3 linked regions of the Drosophila melanogaster genome follow. The protein of the gene in region 2 interacts with the protein of the main gene of each other region in a pairwise test. Each region holds a gene or a part of one and is shown on either strand. Other genes may lie near its edges.

The links.
Region 1: the proteins of CG13502 (region 2) and Ip259 interact in a two-hybrid assay, tested with the Drosophila melanogaster proteins (one large-scale study listed by BioGRID).
Region 3: the proteins of CG13502 (region 2) and CG32706 interact in a two-hybrid assay, tested with the Drosophila melanogaster proteins (one large-scale study listed by BioGRID).

Annotation. Positions count from the first base shown.
Region 1 is NT_033779.5:10,406,312-10,410,381, forward strand, and holds Ip259 (intronic protein 259), read left to right. Parts: upstream 1-2,040; 5' UTR 2,041-2,075; exon of another isoform or gene 2,076-2,310; intron 2,311-2,427; 5' UTR 2,428-2,455; coding exon 2,456-3,235; 3' UTR 3,236-3,299; downstream 3,300-4,070. Other genes in the region: Ir31a (ionotropic receptor 31a), read left to right, coding at 1-126, 188-991, 1,053-1,339, 1,535-1,674, 1,735-1,817; RpS27A (ribosomal protein S27A), read left to right, coding at 3,420-3,740, 3,930-4,070.
Region 2 is NT_033778.4:22,085,062-22,089,704, reverse strand, and holds CG13502 (uncharacterized protein), read left to right. Parts: upstream 1-2,283; 5' UTR 2,284-2,418; coding exon 2,419-2,976; intron 2,977-3,138; coding exon 3,139-3,813; 3' UTR 3,814-3,923; downstream 3,924-4,643.
Region 3 is NC_004354.4:9,085,229-9,088,844, reverse strand, and holds CG32706 (uncharacterized protein), read right to left. Parts: upstream 1,717-3,616; 5' UTR 1,602-1,716; coding exon 1,307-1,601; intron 1,234-1,306; coding exon 836-1,233; 3' UTR 772-835; downstream 1-771. Other genes in the region: CG6999 (uncharacterized protein), read right to left, coding at 1-6, 80-374; CG32708 (uncharacterized protein), read right to left, coding at 2,063-2,448, 2,527-2,860; APC4 (anaphase promoting complex subunit 4), read right to left, coding at 3,144-3,616.

The DNA of each region.
Region 1 (4,070 bases), on a different chromosome or scaffold from region 2:
TTGGAAATAAATTTAATAGCAACATTGATAAACGATACATTGAATATAGCTCGCGATATTTTCCATTTGCAAAGTATTGATTTTCGCGGACAATTTAATGGATTAACTCTAAGAGGAGCAAGTGTTGTAAGTAATGAATAAGTACTATAACTCATTAGATTTTAGCCATTTCAATTATGGATACTAGATCGACAAGGAGGATATAATCTCAAATGAACAAATTGAATCAATACTTTCGCGACCAACTAAGGATGCTGGAGTGGCTGCATTCATAAAGTATCACTACGAGCTTCTGGGACTTCTGAGAGAACGTTTCAATTTCACTGTTAACTTCCGAAATTCTAGAGGATGGGCTGGACGTTTGGGCAATACTACCTTTCGACTTGGACTCTTGGGAATAGTTATGCGAAATGAGGCAGATATAGCCGCATCCGGTGCCTTCAATCGAATTAATCGCTTTGCTGAGTTTGATACCATACACCAAAGTTGGAAATTTGAGACAGCTTTTCTATACCGCTACACTTCCGATTTGGATACTCATGGAAAAAGTGGTAACTTTCTGTCGCCATTCAGCGACAGAGTTTGGTTGTTCTGTCTATTAACCCTTGGTGCTTTTAGCATCATTTGGGTGCTATTTGAAATTATCGACTACAAGATATTGCGTATACGAGTTAATAGTCAAAAGCTGGAACATTTAAATCAGAAAAGTTCGGTGATTTGCATTAAGACCACATGCATTGAACGAATTTTACAGACATTTGGAGCCTGCTGCCAACAGGGATTGGACCCAAATCCTGTAGATCGTTCAGTGCGCTTTTTGGTAATGACACTGTTCCTATTCTCCCTGGTTATGTACAACTATTATACGTCTTCCGTCGTGGGCGGATTGCTTAGTTCTTCAGATCAGGGTCCCTCTACAGTCGACGAAATAACTGCAAGCCCCTTGAAAATATCATTCGAAGACATTGGTTACTACAAAGTCTTATTCCGAGTAAGTTCGTTGAAAACATTATATGTATATTTATATTACCATTACTCGATTTACTTAACAGGAGAGTCAAAATCGATCTATTACAAGATTAATAGAGAAAAAGCTGTCTTCGTCAAGAAGTTTAAATGAATTGCCAATTTTTAGCCATATTGAGGATGCTGTCCCATATCTCAAAGCCGGCGGATTTGCTTTTCATTGCGAAGTGGTGGACGCTTATCCGGTGATTTCAGAATATTTTGATGCCAACGAGATCTGTGATCTGCGTGAAGTCTCCGGTCTGATGGAGGTCGAAATTTTGAATTGGATTTTACACAAGAACAGCCAGTATACCGAGATTTTCAAAACAGCGTAAGTATTGAGTCATTCGCATGGTTTTGGTTTGATTCTGTCTTTGCTTAACTGGCCAAAAAGAACTGTTTTTTTTTAACCCGGTCTTATTCCACATCAGTATATTTCCCAAACATTCCTTGGGAAGTAAGATAGTTTTATAATTATTTTATAATAGTTATATAATTGTAATAAACTCTATATTTTCTTTTGTAGTATGTGTAATGCCCAGGAAAAAGGTTTTGTAGAGCGCATTCTTCGACGGCGGCAAATTAAAAAGCCAGCCTGTCAATCATTATACACCGTTTACCCTGTAAGCTTGTCAGGAGTGCTACCTGGATTTGTTATTTTAATTTGTAAGAGTATTAACAAATTTTCCTAGAACTTAAATTTGTATACATGTTTTTATTTAATAGGCGGATTTGGAGCATCGCTTCTACTTTTGTGCTTGGAAAAAGTATATGCACATTTTGGACCACGAAAATTTTGCGGTTTTTAAATTTTTATTTTGTGTTTCCTTTATGATGATTTTTTTGATTTGTTTTATTTTATAATTTTTGTAATAAGGAAAAGTGTATTGGATATGGCTTCTGGTTCATCCCAGTTTATGTTCCATTCCACGCGTTCCAAAAATAAACGCGTAGTTCAAAATATAAACAAAAGTAAACTCCGAATGCAGCCCTGTGCTCAATTTTTCAACTTCCTGTCACGCTGTGTGTGTGTTCTTTCTTTCCTTTGATTCTGTTGCCGAAGCAAGGTAAGTTTTTGGGGTTGTTACATTTTAAGCATCGGTTAAGTGAAAATAAACATACAAATACATACTTAAAGTAGTCCTTAACACTTGTAAACTCTTACGAGTGAAATACATGACAATTGTTGATTGAACAATGAGAATGATTGCAGTGCACATGTAAAATTGACAAGCAATCAAAATTGCTAAAAGATACCCGTGAACAAAAAAAATATTGTGACATTTAAATTTATACATTAAGGTAAGTGAATTTCCGCGTGATTAGTTATCTGTGGATGGCCACAGAGGCTTCCCCAGGAAACAAATTTCGCACACCCCCAACCGTCCACATGTTAATAACCACATGAATGTATTTCAGATCTGGTCTACAGAATTAACAATTAACAATGCCGCAGAATGAGTATATGGAACGCCATCGCAAGCTGTATGGCCGGCGATTGGATTACGAGGAACGGAAACGCAAGAAGGAAGCGCGTCTTCCCAAGGACCGAGCACGAAAGGCTCGCAAGTTGCGCGGCATCAAGGCCAAACTCTTTAATAAGGAGCGACGCAATGAAAAGATTCAGATTAAGAAGAAGATCCAGGCCCACGAAGAGAAGAAGGTCAAAAAGCAGGAGGAGAAGGTCGAGGATGGAGCCCTGCCGCATTATCTGCTCGACAGAGGCATCCAGTCCAGCGCCAAGGTCCTGTCCAATATGATCAAGCAGAAGCGCAAGGAGAAGGCAGGCAAGTGGGACGTGCCCATTCCCAAAGTACGCGCTCAGTCAGATGCTGAGGTCTTCAAAGTACTAAAGACCGGAAAGACAAAGCGAAAGGCATGGAAGCGCATGGTCACAAAAGTCACATTCGTCGGTGAGAACTTCACACGCAAGCCACCAAAGTTCGAGCGTTTCATTCGACCCATGGGTCTGCGCATGAAGAAGGCTCACGTTACGCATCCAGAACTGAAAGCCACCTTCAATCTGCCCATCATTGGCGTCAAGAAGAACCCCAGCTCGCCCATGTTCACTTCCTTGGGTGTAATTACAAAGGGTACTGTGATCGAAGTCAACATCTCTGAGCTGGGTTTGGTAACGCAAACGGGAAAAGTTGTCTGGGGCAAATACGCTCAGGTCACGAACAATCCAGAAAACGATGGTGTTATCAATGCAGTGCTGCTTGTCTAACCCCGAAAATGTCGCTACCTAATTTAAGAGTTTGATTTAATAAACAAACATATACAATAACATGAACAATCGTTTGATTCTCTTAGCTTATTATACTATTAGCTGTAGCAATGCCATATATATAAACACACATATCTATACCAACATCTTTTTGTTTCTTGCAGTTTGGTGACTGGAATACAAGATGCAGATCTTCGTTAAGACCCTCACGGGCAAGACCATCACTCTTGAGGTCGAACCGTCGGATACTATCGAAAATGTCAAAGCCAAGATTCAGGACAAAGAAGGAATTCCTCCAGATCAGCAGCGTCTGATCTTCGCTGGCAAGCAGCTGGAAGATGGCCGCACCCTCTCTGACTATAACATTCAGAAGGAGTCCACTTTGCACTTGGTGCTCCGCCTGCGTGGTGGTGCCAAGAAGCGCAAGAAGAAGAACTACTCCACTCCCAAGAAAATCAAGCACAAGAGGAAGAAGGTCAAGCTAGCTGTCCTGAAATACTACAAGGTACACACAACAATCTACCGACACCATACCGAAAACATTCTGATCTGTTCTTGGAATTCTTGAGTCTTGGTCTTGTGCTCATTGGCTTAAGATTTGGATATCAGAGTGACTTTACCAGTGCCCTATATTGAATGAACATGTGTACGATCTCAGTATTTAATCACTTTCTATGCTCTTTCCTTTCCATAGGTTGACGAGAACGGCAAGATCCACCGTCTCCGTCGCGAGTGCCCTGGTGAGAACTGCGGCGCCGGCGTCTTCATGGCTGCCCACGAAGATCGTCACTACTGCGGCAAGTGCAACCTGACCTTTGTCTTCAGCAAACCAGAG
Region 2 (4,643 bases):
TTTCGTCACGCCACCGCGAAGGTTGCCAGTCGCTGTCGGAATGAGGCTGGCGCACGCAAGACCAGGCCAACCGCCAACCGCCTGGAACCACCCACACCCAGCCACGAATCCATCCATCCATCCATACATCCACCAGCCCTAACCCACTTTCCCTCACGTGCTCCACCTTTACGACCTGCTCAAACATCAAGCTTATTTATTTACTCTAAAAACAATACCGGAAAATTAATAGCAATTTGTTGGGGTTCATAAATTTGTCGAAATAAATGTCCTTAACTGGCGAATGTACTTCCCCTCACTACCGCACCAACCCAAATGGGTGGAAGAGGGGTTCTTTCGGTGGTGGTGCTGCCAAATGGGTTTCACCTGCTGCAAATCGATTGTCTGACTCCTTCTCCGTTGGCCTTCTCTTATCAGCCGGGCTCGGGTGCGTGACTCCCCGTCCGGAGTTGGGTTTTAATTTTGATGACTTCAATTAACTGCGTGTAAATGCGGTGAATCCGCCTTTTCAGCGATCCAAAGTCTACACAGAAAGAAGGGATTATGTAAAAAACAATTGTTTGTTTTATATTTTTTTCGAGTTTTATTATTGTTAAAGTGAAATAGAGTTCATGTAACATGTATAATTGACACTGCACATTATGTGATCTAATCACCATAAACAAATAATTTTCTGTTATTAAAGTCACAGCTGATGACAAAATGAATCAGCTAGTAGATGTTTCATAACAAAAACTAATATTTTGTGGTATCCAAAGGATATTGTGGCTTTTCAGAATGCTCAGAAGGGTTTGTTGAGATATTAATGAAACTTTATTGAAGTTTATTGCTGCTTGTCAGCGCATGTAAACTGGTATACAAAGTAAAGAAAAGCCGGAACCCCTGAGTTGCAGCTTGTGATGGGGTGCCTTTTCCATGGATTGGGGGTCTAGAAGCGAGCCAAGTTGGGTCAAATGCAAAGTGAAGGCACATAATTCAGTTGCTCAACGACAACCGTCGCGTTCAGACGTCAATTTTAGACTACGGAGTGAAGAAGTCACAGGCTTGAAGGGTGAAAAATGTGAAACTACTACGATACACCATCTCAATAAGCCACTATAACTACTTAACAATACCGAATTTAAAATGCCGCGCAAGAAACCGAAGGTCGATACTCTCGAGGAGATCGAGACCAATATTAAACTGCTATGCGATCAATCCAATAACCACATGAAGGTTCGGGCCTACGAGAAGGCTTTGTTTGGATACAACCAGGTGTGTTGGGAAACTTACTAGCCACAGTTAAGACTAGGCAGAATTATTTCCATCAAATAATAAAGTGCAATTGGGAATACCATCTCCGAATTGCACTATAAATAATGTTTGATAAACTTTACACAAAGTGAATCATTTAAATTAGACACAGTTGAGGATATTTGAAACGGGTTTTATCGCATTTAAAAAATATGTAATTAAGATAAAAGTAATCTATGTACTTTTATTTAATTTCATAATTTTCGAAAAGTACATAAAAACGAAGGCGGTGATATTTTATGTGTTTCATTTTCACTTTTAAGCATTTAATGCTTTGTTCGTGAAGAAGGATAATCACTTAGCGGGAAAGGACATCCGCTAAAAGCTCCTGAAAGCTTCGCACAGGTTTTAGTTCACAACAAAGGAGCACAGTTTGACATTCTTAACGTAGTTGAACAAGCACCTGTAGAGTAACACCATATAGAAACACTATAGAAAGGCTTTTTTTATAGCCAAGATTGTTCAAGTGTTTAATGATAAGTTTTAGTTTACATTAAGGTTTTTTTGTTACATTTTTTTATATTACTCATACGACACGTATGCCAATTTATTCCTCTATGCTAGCAAACAAAAAACGTATTGAGAAAAGATACCGTTGATAGTTTTAGTGTTATAAAGGAGCTACTTTAATATGCGTAATTTTAAGGAAATTAAAGTCCCCCTCAAAACATATCAAGAAAGTTACTCATACGCCCCGTAAGCCAGTCATGGTTAACAAAATCCCAACTCGATTCCTTAAGCATTAACCAAAAAATTAGTTTAAAATATGATAATCTCGAGGACCACTGAGAAAAGAGGATAGATCGGAGTGGATATGCATTCTCACCTTCTAATAGGGCGTCCCCAAGGTCGTGACCCACATGGAGGCCATTGTTCTTGGCATTCACACCGCCAAACGACACGACACCTGGTGCCTGACACCTGATATGTAGCACCTGGCACAGCACGAGTGGTTGTTTTGTTATCGATTGCTAACCCATTTGGTGGCGCCAGTTTCCTGGCAACAACCCATTATAGCGCCAATCAATTGGCTAGTGATTTGGTCAGAAGTTGAGTTTTTTGGATTACTCCAATCGTCGGACGTTGAAGATTCTTCCCAGCGATTGCCAAGGGTATTATAAGGATATGTCGAACGTGCTGAACACCATTCTTGCTGTGGACAAGGAGCAGGAACTGCTGCAAAGCTTCATACGCACCGGAGCAGCGGCTGAGGAGGAGTCACAGGATGAGACCAATCGGCGGTCCAAGGGTCGCTCCCACAAGCCTCCCATCTGGGAGAGGCGCGAGTCCACTGATCGGGGCGGACGCGGTGCTGGACGGGATGGAAAGCAGGGGGATGACGGAGGAGCTGGGGGAGGAGCAGGAGGCGACGCTGCGGGCGGCAAGCGGGGCAATCGCATTGAGGCCGAACTTAGGGCGGCACGCAAAAAGATCGAGGAGCAGATCGCCAAGAAGAAGAAGCCCAAGGAGAACTTCGTCGACTTCTACACGGACAAAGATCGGGCGGCAGCGGTCAGCGCTGGTGCATTTGACATCAAGCAGAGTCTCCAGATCAAGCAGAAGCAGGACCGCAACGAGGCACTGCTCATCCCGGACGAGGCGGACATCAGTTCGGTGATCGCACTGGGGCTCAAGGAGATCAAGAATGCCAATCCCGAGAACGCCATACACTTTTTTTGCAAGGTGCTCCTGGTTTCATTATTGGAACTGTTCAGATTTCAGAGTCATCTAGTTAAGCAGGTTTTCTCTTTTTAATAGAATCTATACCGCTGTTAAGTCCCGTTTAGTTTTCTAAGATCTGCCATAACATATTAAAAACTAGCTAACAAAACCTTAAAATTTCAGGCTCTTGAGCTGAATAGCACCGACATCAATGCTTTGATTTCGCGTAGCAAGTGCTACTTGTTGCTGGGCGAGGCTTCCAAGGCACTGCAGGATGCGGAGACGGCTCTTGGAGAGGACAAGAACAACATTCGGGCCATCTACCAGAAGGCTGAGTCGCTGTACTACCTCGGTCAGTTCGAGCAGAGCCTGATGTTCTTCCATCGCGGTCTGAGGGCTCGTCCGGAACTGGCTTTGTTTCGCCTGGGCGTTCAGAAAACGCAGGAGGCCATCGAGAACACCATCGGCAGCAAGCCGGGTCCACCAGGACCAACAGCATCTGTTCCCAAGAGCGGAAAGTCACGGAAGTCCGGCGAGGATACACCTAAATCCCAGGCAGCGGGAGCAACGGGGACCAGTGCCAGGACGCGGCAGAAACCCAGTCGAGCGGATCTGGAACGACGCAACGCCCGCAAGCTGCTGGGCGAACTGTGCGTGGACAAGGAGTACTTGGAGAAGTTGCTGCTCCATCCGGATTTGGTCCGCGCGGACACACACACGGAGAGCATCTCCGCGTACGCCCGCGAGGCGGTGGAGTTTCTCAACAAACGGCAGGAGTTCTGGCGCCAACAGCGTCCCTGCACGGCGCTGCCCAACCATAAGAACCTGCCCCATGACGCTCTGCCCAAATGGTTCTAGTCCATCCAGCTGCCCAATACTACTGACTTGTTCAGCTCCCGGTGTTAAGTTTCTGTTTGAATTGAGTTGGCTTGATAAGCTGGTATTGAATAAATAAATCAATTAATTACGAAAACTCTCAGGTAATTTTACTTGACTCTTGTATTGAGTTTTATTAACTTCCAATGCATTTTGCGAATATTCACTTGGAGCAGCGACTACGACGGTCCAACTTTTTTATTTTGTAGTATGCTACTTGGTTAATCTTAGGCGTAACTTCAACTTTTGAACAGAGCAATTGGAATTTCTCAATTACATTGATATATATTTGTAGTCAACTGAAACAGAAATCCGGATGTAGCCTCAAATTGACGGAATACAACGATAGTTTAACAATGTGGAATAATATGTAATTTATCTCAATAGTTGTTCAATAACAATGGATACATGTGTTTGGGTGTGTCGCTCGAATCGGAATCTTTTACAGAGTTCTATTGCTTCTTCAGTTTTTATAACTTTACTTCATAATTTGACTAGTACGGCTATAATTTATTTAAACATTACATTTATGCAGATTAGTGTAATACTTTGTCGCCCATATACTTCATTATATTCATTCTTCGCCCTCGGCAAATCCGGTGCAATTGGGTTGAGTACGTCTGGCCAGTAAGTAAAAAAAAAAAAAAGAGAGTACCGGAGTGGGGTAGTTTGGGCTTTAGCTATGTGGAACTTATTTGTTTACTTTAAATTCAGTTTGATTCCGGCTAGAAACTATCGAAACAAACAAACAGGTAGTAACATAGATTCCATGCGAAGTGCGGATATTGCCAGGAGTTCTCCTCCAGAGTGGC
Region 3 (3,616 bases), on a different chromosome or scaffold from region 2:
TGAAACCTAAAGTAATTGAGATAAAAGTTTATACTGGGTAATCAGTGGGTCATTTGTGCATGCCACTTGGTCCACTCACTTGACAGCGTTTCCGGCTGCACGTAAACTCTGCCGACGACGCTGTGCAAGTTCATGATTTCCTTCAGGCAGTCCCCGTCCATGTCCTTGGGTATGTTGGATATTAAGATGACGCCTACCTTGTGCATCTTCTCGCGTTTCTTCTCGGGGGCCCAGGAATTGAAGGTGGCTTTGAAATTGGCCAGCTCCTTTTTATCGTCATTTGAGGGATTTGCTATCCCATTTGCAGACTCACCTTCCTTTGTCTGCGGCTTACCCCAGCGCGCCTCGTCTAGCTTAGTCTCCTCCACTTTCATGGAAGTGGACTTGCGCTTTGGCTTTGATGTATTAATTATTTTTTTCATTGTAGCTTTCGTTTTAGCTGGATCGAATATATTTTGTAATGTACGCAATCAGGTATGACAGTTGACAGGCGATGTCAGTTGACGTTTTTATCGAAGAGCTATCGATGTGTTGGTACCCTTTCATTAGAAAAGCATATCGCTTTAAAAACACTTTGTAACAGAACATTTGATTTACTCAGCCCTATTTTAATCGAGAAATCTTAACCATCCCTGTGCGTTACAGTGGCCTCCTTCAGCTTGAGTAGCTGAAGTAGCATTAACACGCACACACAATCGGCGAAATTATCGATATGCAGGGGCCCTAATTTCAAATAATTTTGCGCGCCTAATTATTTAAAGATTTTGATTTGATTTACTTAATTGAAGTATATTTGCAGTCAGGTAGACATTGGAAGCAAAGGTCTAGCGTGAACTCAGGCAGACTTCTTCAATTTCTTGGCAGCCATCTCCGCTTTCTTGGCAGCCATCTCCGCATTCCTGGTAGCCATCTCCGCTTTCTTGACCTTCTTCATCTTCTTCACTTGCTTCTTGAAATACTCCATCTGGTCGGGATCGTACAAGAAGGTGGCCCGCTTGCGGGCCTGCGACCATACGCGAACTTTGCAAACCGCCAGCTCGTAGTCCATGCGATCGGTTAGATAGTACCACTTGAAGCGTGGCAGGAACTTCATTTTCCACAGCAAGCCACGGAATCGGGACGACTTGCCATCGGTTATAGGCTTATTGTTCAGCTCTAGAGCGATTTTTTTGGCCCCACTTTTCGAAATGAACTCCACCCAGCCCTTACGCATGTTCTTCTTTGTCTTGAAACCTAAAGTAATTGAGATAAAAGTTTATACTGGGTAATCAGTGGGTCATTTGTGCATGCCACTTGGTCCACTCACTTGACAGCGTTTCCGGCTGCACGTAAACTCTGCCGACGACGCTGTGCAAGTTCATGATTTCCTTCAGGCAGTCCCCGTCCATGTCCTTGGGTATGTTGGATATTAAGATGACGCCTACCTTGTGCATCTTCTCGCGTTTCTTCTCGGGGGCCCAGGAATTGAAGGTGGCTTTGAAATTGGCCAGCTCCTTTTTATCGTCATTTGAGGGATTTGCTACCCCATTTGCAGACTCACCTTCCTTTGTCTGCGGCTTACCCGAGCGCACTTCGCCTAGCTTAGTCTCCTCCACTTTCATGGAAGTGGACTTGCGCTTTGGCTTTGATGTATTAATTATTTTTTTCATTGTAGCTTTCGTTTTAGCTGGATCGAATATATTTTGTAATGTACGCAATCAGGTATGACAGTTGACAGGCGATGTCAGTTGACGTTTTTATCGAAGAGCTATCGATGTGTTGGTACCCTTTCATTAGAAAAGCATATCGCTTTAAAAACACTTTGTAACAGAACATTTGATTTACTCAGCCCTATTTTAATCGAGAAATCTTAACCATCCCTGTGCGTTACAGTGGCCTCCTTCAGCTTGAGTAGCTGAAGTAGCATTAACACGCACACACAATCGACGAAATTATCGATATGCAGGGGCCCTAATTTCAAATAATTTTGCGCGCCTAATTATTTAAAGATTTTTATTTGATCTACTTAATATAAGTATATTTGCAGTCAGGTAAACATTGAATGCAACAGTCTAGCGCGAACTCAGGCATCGCTGTCGCTCTTGGCAGCCAGAGCCTTTTCCGCATTCTTGGCCTTCTTCGCCTGCTTCCTGATGAACTCGCTCTTGTCGAGATTGTTCTGGAAGAAGGTGGTCTCCTTGCGGGCCTGCGAGACCTCAGTGTGTAGGCGTTGCTTGTGAACCGCCTGCTCGTAGTTCATGCGCTCGGTTAGATGGACCCACTTAAAGCGCGGCAGGTACTTCATGCTCCATAGCGAGTCATAGAATTGGGACGTCTTGCGACCGGATATCTGCTTGTTGTTCAGCAGTGGAACGATCTGTTTGGCCACACGTTTCGACTTAAATTCCACCCAGCCCTCGGTGAAGTGGATATTATAACGCTTACGCTTGTTCTTCTTCGCTTTGGCACCTAAAGTAATTGAGATTAAAGTATATACACTAGTGGGTAATCAGTGGGTCTTATATGTATGCCACTTGGTCCACTCACTTGACAGCTTCTCTGGCTGTAGGTAAACTCTGCCGATGGCGCCGTACTCGCCCAAGATTTCCCGCAGGCGGGTCACGTTCATATGCTTGGGTATGTTGGATATGTAGATGATCCCCATCTTGCGTTTCTTCGCGGGGGCCGAGGAACTGGAGGTGGCTTTAAAGTTGGCCAGATCCATATCATCGTCGTCATCCGAGGGATTTGCCTCCCCATTCGCAGTTTCACCTTCCCCTGGCTGCGGCTCATCCGAGCGCACCTCGTCTAGCTCAGCCTCCTCTACTTCCATGGGAGTGGGCTTGCGCTTTGGCTTTGATTTATTTTTTATATTCTTCATTGTTGATTTCGTTCTCTGTGTAGTGCACGCTATTAGGGATGACAGTTGTCAGGCGATGTCAGTGTACGTTTTTATCGAAGAGCTATCGATGAGTTGGTTGGTTCAAAAGCACTTTGTAACAGATTATTTATTCAGCCCTATTTTAACGGACAAATCGTAACAAGAATTTTAACCATTCTTTTCTACCACCAATGCCTTTACGAATTGTAAAATATAAAATTATTGGAAACATTTTAAGTTATCACACAACAATCAATATAATTTAAATTCAATAGATTCAAGACTACGCCTCCTGTTTCTCCGCATCGGGAACGCCAGCCAGCACAGACTCTTTGCTGATGTCCAGAAACGAGGCCTGGGACATTTCCGTGTCATCCTCCTCCTCCTCGATTTCCATCTCAAAAATGGTCATCTTGCGCTTGCGATCGGAGAGAACGGTGGCCACCTTCCTGCTGCCCGAGACGGCCAACATGTCGCTAAATCCGTCCAGTCCCTTGAAGGCGGCACCATCGGCAATGTCATGGATGCTTTGCGACACGGTGGCTTCGCTCAGCTTGACCAACGGTCCCATTCGGTGCTGTGTGCTGTAATTCAGCGCCGCGGTCAGTGAGAATTGTATAAAGAAGCTATGCGGTCGCATGCCAGGTCCCGCATTTATGGACTGGGCCAGTATCGATAGCGAAGATTCATTGTAGAACTGCAGGTCGACGAAGCGTAGGTAACAGAAATCTTCGGACACGGATGTTGTAAATAATC